Linked DNA regions of Danio rerio. The protein of the gene in region 1 purifies or fractionates together with the protein of each later gene. This does not show direct contact. Links are inferred from orthologs where the notes say so. Each region holds a gene or a part of one and is shown on either strand. Other genes may lie near its edges.

What was found.
Region 2: the proteins of rpa2 (region 1) and hltf purify together in Homo sapiens (affinity purification with mass spectrometry, with the first as the bait; 3 studies listed by BioGRID). This does not show direct contact. The link is inferred for Danio rerio from reciprocal best matches to the Homo sapiens genes RPA2 and HLTF.
Region 3: the proteins of rpa2 (region 1) and atrip purify together in Homo sapiens (affinity purification with western blotting; 5 studies listed by BioGRID, with this or other methods). This does not show direct contact. The link is inferred for Danio rerio from reciprocal best matches to the Homo sapiens genes RPA2 and ATRIP.

What each region holds. Positions count from the first base shown.
Region 1 is NC_133191.1:4,960,533-4,964,193, reverse strand, and holds part of rpa2 (replication protein A 32 kDa subunit), read left to right. Parts: intron 1-806; coding exon 807-923; intron 924-2,220; coding exon 2,221-2,340; intron 2,341-3,661. UniProt on the Homo sapiens protein: As part of the heterotrimeric replication protein A complex (RPA/RP-A), binds and stabilizes single-stranded DNA intermediates that form during DNA replication or upon DNA stress.
Region 2 is NC_133177.1:28,293,230-28,296,990, reverse strand, and holds the start of hltf (helicase-like transcription factor), read left to right. Parts: upstream 1-1,317; 5' UTR 1,318-1,472; intron 1,473-1,659; exon of another isoform or gene 1,660-1,702; 5' UTR 1,703-1,704; coding exon 1,705-1,756; intron 1,757-1,919; coding exon 1,920-2,077; intron 2,078-3,761. UniProt on the Homo sapiens protein: Has both helicase and E3 ubiquitin ligase activities. Possesses intrinsic ATP-dependent nucleosome-remodeling activity; This activity may be required for transcriptional activation or repression of specific target promoters.
Region 3 is NC_133197.1:10,190,857-10,194,617, reverse strand, and holds the start of atrip (ATR-interacting protein), read right to left. Parts: upstream 2,396-3,761; 5' UTR 2,199-2,395; intron 553-2,198; exon of another isoform or gene 550-552; 5' UTR 538-549; coding exon 237-537; intron 1-236. UniProt on the Homo sapiens protein: Required for checkpoint signaling after DNA damage. Required for ATR expression, possibly by stabilizing the protein.

The DNA of each region.
Region 1 (3,661 bases):
ATTCCAACCATTAGTCCTGCAGGTGATTTGGAGAATTTAAAATGTGTGCGAACACAGCAGCACAGATATAGGCGATGTGTCTGAATGGTAACAAACTCAACTGATAAAAGACAAAGTCCGTCATTCTCCAATTCTCCTACAGCTCTTCTGACAAAAATGCTTGCTGCACACAAACAGGTTGCCTGTATCAGCCCTTGACAGAATAAGAGGAAAACCATGCAACAAACCGTGTGGATCATGGAAACAAACACATGCCACTCTTCATAAGCACCTAAATACTGCCGTGTGCCGTCTCACAGCTTGGCAGGTCTGACCGTATTAGTCTGTCATCGGAAAGCACATGCAGTATTAATAATTAAGAAGCAGGGTCTTCTCATAGGATAAGAAAACTCCACTACAAATAATAATGAGAAACTCACGCATCATCACTGGACAGGCAGATTGGTGCTACGTCACCGATTTCTGATCCCGCCCCAATAATGATTTTAAGCTGAAATTAGCTGACAAACGCTCAAAATGATCCAGTTTTATTCATGATTAAAGCTGATGGGTGCTAACGTTTTAAATGACGCACACACACATTGCATTTATGGAATAATCATGCACACATTTAAACCTTTCTTTAACACACATCTATAAAAGACTCAATAAAATATTACAGGAAATACTGTGATAAATCCCTTGCTCTGCTACACATCATTCGGGAAACACTTGAAAAAGAAAACAAAATTCACAATTCACTTTAACTGTATTAGTTCTGGTTTAATCTGATTGTCCTTCACGAATAGTTCTGATTCTCCTTGCAGAATAACAGGTCTTTGGTGGCGTTCAGCGTTCGAGTGCTGGAGGACATGAATGAAGTGACATCGCACATGCTGGAGGTTGTGAACGCTCATCTCCAGCAGAGCAAACCACAGAACATGGTGAGACTCCAGCACCTCCTTCTCATGCTACACTTCTGCTTTTCTTTCGCACAAAATGCAAAGAAAGTGGTTGATGGTTACAAACTCAACACAGAATTCAAGCATGTTCAAACCTTGTGTATCGTAGATTCAATTTCAAAGCATTAATTATCAACTGGTTATATTTGGGTCATGAGACAATATGCAGCATCTGTATATACAGTTAAAGACAAAGTGATTAAGGAGATGATTTACATTTTCAACATAATAGTTTTAATAACCAATGTTTTATGCAGGGGATTCCTTTCCAGCTGCAACCCTGTACTGGGAAACACCCATACATACCCATTTACACACTACAGCCAATTTAGTTTATTCAATTCACTAATGGCGCAGGTTTTTGGACTGTAGGGGAAACCGGAGCACACGGAATAAACCCACGCTAACACAGGGAGAACATGCAAACTCCATACAGTAATGCCAACATTGTGAGGCGACAGCGCTGACCACTGAGCCACCGTGCAGCCATGCTAAATACAATTGATTGTTTTTTTTTTTTGAATGATTTGCTATATTTAAATAACAAACCACCCAAGCCTTTTCCGCTCTGAGTCCTTATAAAGAATCCGTTTATTAAATGCATAATTTAAGGGGTATCCCAATTCTCTTTAGCTTGAAAGGGAACACTATGATAAAAAAAAAATATATATATATTTATTTTTATATATATATATATATATATATATATATATATATATATATATATATATATATATATTTTTTTTTTTTTTTTTTTTTTTTAACAAAAGTACAGTTCCCAAATTTTTCAGCCTGACCCCCCAAAATAACAATTTCAGTGACTCACGACCCCCGCCATCTCCGAAAGTGGTTCTAAACATACAAACAGTGCACATACACCAATAGGCCTAAATAAACACAAGCACATTGACAACATAAACAGTCTAACAACCATTTAATATTTATTATTTGTCATTTATTAATTAGTCTTTAATATCAACCTCATCTAATATGGCTGGTGGGTGCAATGTTTACTGCACAAGTCTATTATTGGTTTAACTTTGGAGACTTGGAGATCATCATCAATGTTCAGTTGTATATGATTTAAAAAGATAGATATTTAAAATTAAAATAAAAAACATTTTATTTTAATGTATAGCAGTTCATAAAGGTGGCAAAGTTTGCTATGGTACTGTAAAATCAATCTGACACTATTTCTGTGTGGTTAATATAATGGAAACATGACAGGGGTCACAATAACTGTTCTTATAATGTAATATAATGTGTTGTGTCTTTATAGGGAGGTGGTGGAGGGATGATGCCAGTGTCTCATACCAGCATGAATAGTATGGGCACCACAGGAGGCTATTCTGGTGCTAACATGATGCTAGTCAATGGCTTGAGTGCCAACCAGAACCAAGTGAGTAAACATTACAAACATATTTGTATTCACATCTTCCACCTTTATATATTATATTTGCAGTTATGGGTTGCACTTTCTGTTTAACCAAAGGTGCTCTAAGCTAGTTTTGAACAGCAGAGGGCACTCTAGGCCTGGCCCGGATTGGCTAATTGGGAGGACCAGGAGACGTTTTTTGACCATGAGGGCCGTTGTCCCTAGCTGCTTGCACTCTCAGCAGTCGCACTTTTTTCATTTATTTATTTATTTGACCATAGCCTCATTCTTTTGATTCATTATTTTGCTGCAGCTCCGCTCTTCTTATTTATTTTCTCGCAGCACCGTGAGCAGAATGCAGCCTGCAGGGTAATGATGATGTAACTATCATTCAACCCCAAACAGCGGCACTTATAGTGAAAATAAGAATTTGAATAATTAATATTAATGAATATTACACCTGCTCAATGAAAATCAGATGATTCACTACATTAATATATCCAACATAACTTGATCAGAAATCTAAAATGGGGAGAAAAAGATTAAACCATCAATAGAAAGCAATACTGTGGTTAAGAGTCTTGCAGGTCTTGAATATATATATATATATATATATATATATATATATATATATATATTTTTTTTTTTTTTCTGTCATTTTTATTGTTAAGACATATTATATTGTTAGGGTTGATAAACATTTGAAGTTTTAAAGCAGCTGTTTTCTTTAAAAAGACATGATAGTGTCATTAGAAACTGAATTGGAAATGACGTTATTTTAATATACTGTAGTCAGTCGTGAACTGAGGTGGGCAGGTCTTGGGCTTGAAACTCCAGGTCTGAAAAGGAGTCCCACTCCGGCCCTGCTCTAGGCTAGTGTTTAACAGCTTATAGTGCTCTAGGCTAGTGTTTAACAGCTGATGGTAGTCTAGGCTAGTGTTTAACAGCTTATAGTGCTCTAGGCTAGTGTTTAACAGCTGATGGTAGTCTAGGCTAGTGTTTAACAGCTTATAGTGCTCTAGGCTAGTGTTTAACAGCTGATGGTAGTCTGAGCTAGTGTTTAACAGCAGATGCCGCTCTAGGCTAGTCTTCAACAGCTAATGGTGCTCTAGGCTAGTGTTTAATAGCAGATGCCGCTCTAGACTAGTGTTCAACAGCTGATGGTGCTCTAGGCTAGTGTTTAACAGCAGATGCCGCTCTAGGCTAGTGTTTAACAGCAGATGCCGCTCTAGGCTAGTGTTCAACAGCTAATGGTGCTCTAGGCTAGTGTTTAATAGCAGATGCCGCTCTAGGCTAGTGTTCAACAGCTGATGGTGCTCTAGGCTAGTGTTTAACAGCAGATGCC
Region 2 (3,761 bases), on another chromosome or scaffold:
ATGTCTAAATATAATTGATACATGATAAAATTAATCAAAGCAAATAAGTAATAAATCATAAAATAAATCAATTAAATACGTAATAAATAAAAGTCATTATGTTAATAGAAAAAATTATAAATCTAAATTTCTTTGTAAAACAATAATTACTTATAAGAAAAAATAAATATGAAGGGAAAATATGTATTAGTATTAGTAGTATTTAGAAATCATAAAAATATTATTATTATTATTATTAAATAAATTGTCATTTTATTATTATTAATATTATTATTATTAGTGACATCAAGAAACTGCATATTATATAGACTACAGGAAAAGACAATAGTTCTTACAATATCAACACTAGATGAACAGTATTAAGAGCAAAACCAAAAATTAAGTAGATAAAAATAATAATAATAATGCAATAAAAAGATAAAAAATCAAGCATGAAAGATTTCATCATGTTTACGCAAAAAAGAAGTACATTTCTTATTATCAATCAATCTAATTGAATTTATTAAATGTTCTATTTCACATAAGAAGTCTGTAAGAGTTTGTGTTTTTTTAACGAAACCTCTGTTTGTGAAAGTAAAATTTCCTAGCAAGTATAGAATGAAAATTTATAGTGGCTTTCAACGACTTGTTTTGATTTTCGAAATTAACAAATACCATCCTTGAGGTGCAAATTACAACTCATTTTAACATCGGAAAAGTAATATGAACTTAAGCTACTGTACAATACCAATACAATGATGATACATTGTATGAAATAACAAGTGACAAATGTCTTCACACTCATTTTTACAAATGGTGCAATTATCAGTAAACTAAAAAAATAATAATATTCAAAGGATTTCTGTATTGACGACCGCCGCCATTCTCTCTCTCTCTCTCTCTCTCTCTCTCTCTCTCTCTCTCTCTCTCTTTTGGCGGGTGAGTAAACCTTGAGGGATTTTTATTATTATTGCACAAACCATGAGGAACATACATACAAAACAATATAAAAGGTGTTCATAAAAAAAACGAATATAACAATGTTACAAAATAAACGAATGTAAATAAAAATAAATATATTGTTTTCGATACAAAAAACAGTTCGATACAAAAAATCGATACAAAAAAAACAATTAATGTGAGAGATGACTTAGCATTTTTTTGTTTGTGTATGCGATATGTTATCAATAAATAATAAAGAGATTATTAACAATGTTTACAAGACTTTTGTTGAGTTTGTTTTACCGCCACCAGTCGGTCCTGATTGGTTCATGTGACAATGACGTAGAATGACTGCTGGCGCCGAAAATAGACGTGTGGTTTCAAAACACTCGCGCCACTCACTGGCGTCACGAAAGCGAGACTTGTATTCAGAATTAGATAACTGACCTACAATAAACCCGTGAACGCAGCGATATTCATCGCCCATGCAGTATTTACAGTTGGCCTCATTTACAGTCAGATATTACTGAAAAGGACTCTTTGCTCGAGAGGTGGGTGTGGCCTGCAGCTCATCATTTTAACTTAATCCACGATAACAGCTTTGCTTGGCATTCTAGCTGAATGGAGACGTTTTACTGTGAATTATATGTAAAGTTAAGTAACTGGTATCTTGATTCTGCTTTATGGTACATTGGCTTTGCTCTTTAATTGTTTGTTGTCTGTTGCTTTTGTTGTTAGGACGTGGTTCAGTGAAGTTTGGTGTTTATGTTGTGATTTGCAGACATGCAGTCATCAAGCAGCTCAACAGCCTCCAGCAGCACCCCGCCAAGATACGGTGATAAAAACACAAATATCTACATATGAGAATATTAATTTATCATATCAGTGGTCCCAACTATATGCTAAATTACATTAATTAACGTTACACTGAAAAACTTTTCCCATTATGTTTGAACAGAAGTTTAATATACGTTTTCTTGTTTGTCATCCACCATTAGCTTTCATAGATTTTATGGACGTGGGCAGCACAATGACCTTATCACAAGAACTTGCCAATTTAACAGAAGATGCAGGACAGGAGCTGGAGGCAGAGGGGAATGTTCTGTTTGGTTCAATTCAAGGCTTAATTGTTGGTTTGCGATACTACACTGGAGCGGTATGAATTGTTGCATTTTACAATAAATCAAAGCATATTTGGTTGCGGTTAAGTTGGTTTTATATTTGTACATTTGTTCATTTTTAAGCAGTGAAAACTTAACGCTTTGAATATTCGGTCTGAAATATCATGCAAGAATGACTTCAAAACAGCACCATTTAACTGACTGTCAACAGTGGACTTTAATAGTCATTGGCTGCTAATATAATTTCCCTGTTAAGAATTTGCAAAGAATAGTTTTCTGAAATTATATTACTGAGAAGAAAGTTCGAATGTACAAATATAAAACCAACTTTACCTCAATGCAGATTTGTGTGTCCAGATATCTGTACAAAAAAACAAAAACACTGATATATTTAATAATCCCACTACCATGAAATTATACAGTATTTGATAATAGGCTTTTAATAGGATTATCACTTTACATGTTTACATGTAATCATTTTATTACAAGTTATTTACAAGTTATTATATTATTGTTATTATTATGTTAACACCATTTTGTCTGGTTCTGTCTATAAAGCAAATATTCCACTTTTTAAATGTATTTATTTGTTCTTGGACAATTCCTGCTTGCAAGAATTTTGGGTAGTTGTTACAATAGAACTGCACAATATGTCGCTTCAGCAACGATATCGCAATGTGCACATCCGCAATAGTCACATCGCAATATATACAATTTTGAGTCTGAATTATAGTTGACCAAGAGCTACAGAATTGTATTTAATTACTGTATTTATAAGTAATTTATGCAAAAAAGAAAAAAAATTTCTCACTTAGAATTTTTGTCTTGTTTCTTGTTTTCCAAATTATCCACATTTTAAAGCAAGAAAATAAGATTGTTTTATTCACCTCAATGGTTTCAATGGCAGATAATTGTCTTGTTTTGAGGAAGAACTCATTATTTCTTCTGAAGTTGAAAACAAAACAATATTATTTACTTAATTTAAATATTTTTAGATATTTGGACTAGAAATGAGACAAAGCAAATTAAGAAAAGCATTTTTTTTGCATTTTGATTGTTTAATTTCTGTACCTGAATAATGCTAGACTCCCCAGAAAATATTCATATCGCAATATTTATTGCAAAAAAAAAGAAAATTGCAATATCAGATTTTTCTAATATTGTGCAGCCCTACTTTACAATAAGATTCCATGAGTTAGCAATAATTATAATTAATATAATTATTTTTGATAGTGTATCAGTCTATTTTAACATTAACCACACAATCTGCAAGTGGAAACAGAAAAAAAAAACATATATTAAAATGATAGTTCACCCAAAAATAAACATTTCCTCACCCTTTTCTTTTACTTAGGTGGTTTTAAGAATTTGTACATTTCTTCTGATGAACACAAATTAAGATTTAAGAACGTTGAAAAAAAGGCAGCCACTTACATCCATAATAGAATCAAAGCATTCTATGAAAGTTAATAAGTGTTCAGTGTATCTTTTCTATTAAACAGAAGAAACTCAAACAAGCTATGGAACAAGTGAAGTTGAGTAAATGATGACAGAATTAATTTCTGGGTGAACTTTCCTGTTAATCTGAGAACATTTTGTAACCTTTTCATAACATGATTTTTTTCTTAAAATTTGACTATTAATTCATCTATAAAAGGGTTGGCATCGAGCTAAGTACATCTTGTGTCAGGTTCCCCTTGCATAAAGTTACAACGATTG
Region 3 (3,761 bases), on another chromosome or scaffold:
ATATATATATATATATATATATATATATATATATATATATATATATATATATATATATATATATATATATATATATAATAGCCCACTAACAAGACACAAAACAACAAACAAATATGTTAAATTGCTTCTTTAAACTGTCTCTAATTTTGTTTTTTAAATTAACAACAACAACTGCAAAAACCCAATGGGACATATAAAAACTTGTGTACAGTGCAACAGAAACATCCAGTACTGACCAGAAGGCTCTTTCCTTTGAGCGTGTGTGTTGTTGTAAGTGCTGCTGCTGCAGGCATCTCCAAGGGCGAATGTTTTCCGCCCGGACCTCACTGGAGCTTTGCTCGGTTCATCAGCGCAAGCGAGCACAGCGTCGAAAGATCTCTTAGAGCCGCTGTTCTGGACGTCTGCGCTGATGGCCTGAGACGCAATAATATCAATCTGCTCCAGATCATCCTGGGTGAAATCAATGTCATCGTCAAACGGGTCGGGTCCAGTCTTCACCTGAGGGCCCTTCAGTCTCTTGCTCGGGGGAAAGTCCATGTCAACGAGCTCCTGCTGGGAAATCAATAAAACCTTGTTAATGTTCAGCAAATAATTAGTGTAGTAAAGAAAATGTTTATGCCCCTTTTCACAAGATGATAGGTCTCTGACACCCCTAGAGCAGGAATGCCTAAACTCTGGTCCAGTGTCCTGCAGAGTTTAGTTCTATCCCCAATTAGACACACTTAAACCAGCTAATCAAGCTCTTTATACGTATACTGGAAACTTCCAAGCAGGTGTGTTGAAGGAAGTGTGAGCTAAACTATGCAGGTCACCGGCCCTCCAGGACCGGGTTTGGGCACCCCTGACCTAGAGCGTGTTAAATTTCAGCTCAAAATACCCCACTAATAATTCTTTTAAACTGCCCTTTTTAGACTTCGATCCAAATTGTGATATTTTGTTGACTGTTGCTTTAAATTCAAGTGAGATAGCCTTCTTTTCAATTGTGGGCAGAGCTGCAAATGCCTATGGTCATCTACGGTTTTCATTTGTGCATCCTAAAACACCACGTCTATATTACATCTATTGGCAGGTGACTGCTTATGACTCAGGACTGTCTTTGCAAATGAGGGACAGATCGTCACTAATGGAATGTCATTAAATTTGGAAAAATTTGGATAAATATGTCTTAAAGTGATTAAAACTTTAGTAAATTCACCTGTTTTATAATAAATAGTACTGCATAAGCTGTACAATGTTTGTTTATACATGACCACCACTATAAATGTACAGTTGAAGTCAGAATTATTAAACCCCCTGAATTATTAGCCCCTCTGTTTATTTTTGTTTAATGGAAGATTTTTCTTTAACACATTTCTTAACATAATAGTTTTAATAACTGATTTCTAACAGCTGATTCATTTTATCTTTGCCATGATGACAGCACATAATATTTTACTAGATATTTTTCAAGACACTTCTATACAGCTTAAAGTGACATTTAAAGGCTTAACTAGGTTAATCAGGCAGGTTAGGGTAATTAGGCAAGTTATTGTATAATGATGGTTTGTTCTGTAAACTATCGAAAAAATATATACCTTAAGGGGGCTAATAATTTTGATCTTAAATGTTTTTAAAAAATTAAAAACTGCTTTTATTCTAGCCTCATAACATCCAGGGTAACATGTCTATATGTATTACAATATAAATAAATGTTTAAACACACATTTCTATATTTATTAAAAACCTATCCATCTAATTATTTCAATTAAATAGACAAGCTTTTTGATTTAAACTGTAAATGTAACAATTAAAACAGTTCCAGGACAACGAATTCATTAATAATCTGCAAAAAATTATAGCAGAAAATAAATAATTTAGAAAAAAACATTAGACACATTATCTAACACTAGTTTTCGCAGTATAAATGTATTTTGCAACTACAAATATGTAGTTTACATTTTGGGTTTGGATGTCCGTGACATATAAAAGACTGCAAAACCCTGACATACAGTACGGTTCGTGCCAGTTCATTAATATCAAGCAGTTAGCATGTGACAATTTTAATACGATAACACTCACTTACTGGTCAAAAATCCAGTTATTTTTCAGCCTATAAAGTGTACATTACTACCGGACTAACAAACTAACACACAATGCTCTTCCAGACTCCAATTTTAACATGGTAAAGGTGTAGTAAAGTGCTCAAGTTTATCAGTCACCTGCTTGATTTACGCTCCTCAGATTCCTGCATAACCTGCAACTGCCCGTCAAATCACCGACATGACAAACCAAAAGTAAACACTCCAGATAAAGTGCAATTCTGAAATGTTTACATAAAAGTAGTTGACCAAACAAACAAATAACCGAAAAGAGGAAAAGTTGGAGGCATTTCTGAAGGTTCGGTATTCATTCAAGCGAGGAGGAGTGTCCATGCGGCCAGACGAAAGCGTACGCGGTAGTAAAACATCACCTGATTGGCTAAACCACTGCCATAGTGTGTAGCGGTGAGCTCTGATTCGTCAAAGGAGTAGCGCACGTATTACGGAGACACTCTTGCGACAAAATGCGTTTTGAACCATTCATTTTGATTCAGAAAACTTGCACAAAGCCGTGATTTGGAAGTTGTCTAAACATGTTCAACAAGATGTGTTTATAAAAGTTTGGGCTTGTTAAACGTTTTCTTCACCATTTAGCTTATACATACTCGTACCTGTAGTAAACATATCGCAAGGCTTCAAGATTGTATTATTTTAGTTTAAATGGAAAAATATGAGTTCACAACAAAACACTGACGCAGAGTAGTATGAGTAAGATTAAAAATATATTTACAAGGTGCACACACAAAATAAATAGTGTTTAGTGATATTTTTGATACATTTTAAGCAAAATCATCACTAAAAATCAGCAGGTACATTTTTATGTGATTACACCATATACGACAAAACTTTTGCAGTTATTATGAGCTAAGTTAGCATGCAGGTTATAACCAATTGTAATAATTGCGCTAAATAGCTGCGAAAGGCTTTATTTTTAACAAAAGATGTAAAAATGATATAGTTAGACTTCATAACATTGTTAGGCTACAGAAATAAACTAATAAAAGGTGAAATCTGTTTGCTGCTTTAAAGATTTGTCTACAGCTATTGTGTCAGATTTAGCATCTTCGCTATGAACAACATACTTTTTTATCTCACACAATGTGTGCATGTAACTACGGAGTGTTTTTGTTGCTGCTGTTTTAAGTTGGAACTATTATTATTTCAACTATTACGATTTATTGACGAGAACAAATGATTGTGTACATTTTTATGTGATCACAACAAGCAGATCTTTTTTATACGACAAAACCTTTGCAGTTAACAAATATGAGCTAAGTTAGCATGTTACAAACTGTAATAAGTGTGCTAAATATAGCTGCCTTACCTTAATTTATATAGACATAAAAAATATTTATAGGCTACAGTGTGCTAAGGTAAACAATACTATCTGCAGCTTTGTTCAGTAGTGTGTCTACAGATATTTAGCATCTTTGCTAATGTATCTATGAAAACATACTTTTTTATCTCGCACAATTCGTGCATGTTGTACGAGCATGTTGCATGTCGAGTGTTTTTGTTGTTGTTTTATTTAGGTTTTTTAAAGTAATTATTACAACATGCCCACAGTTTAGTAGAGATCACTTGAAACAAATGAGTAAAACGTGCAGATATATTAGTAAATTGTGGGAATGAATGAGTCCACTTGTGGCCATAATATGCATATATTTTGTCTGCATTTCATGT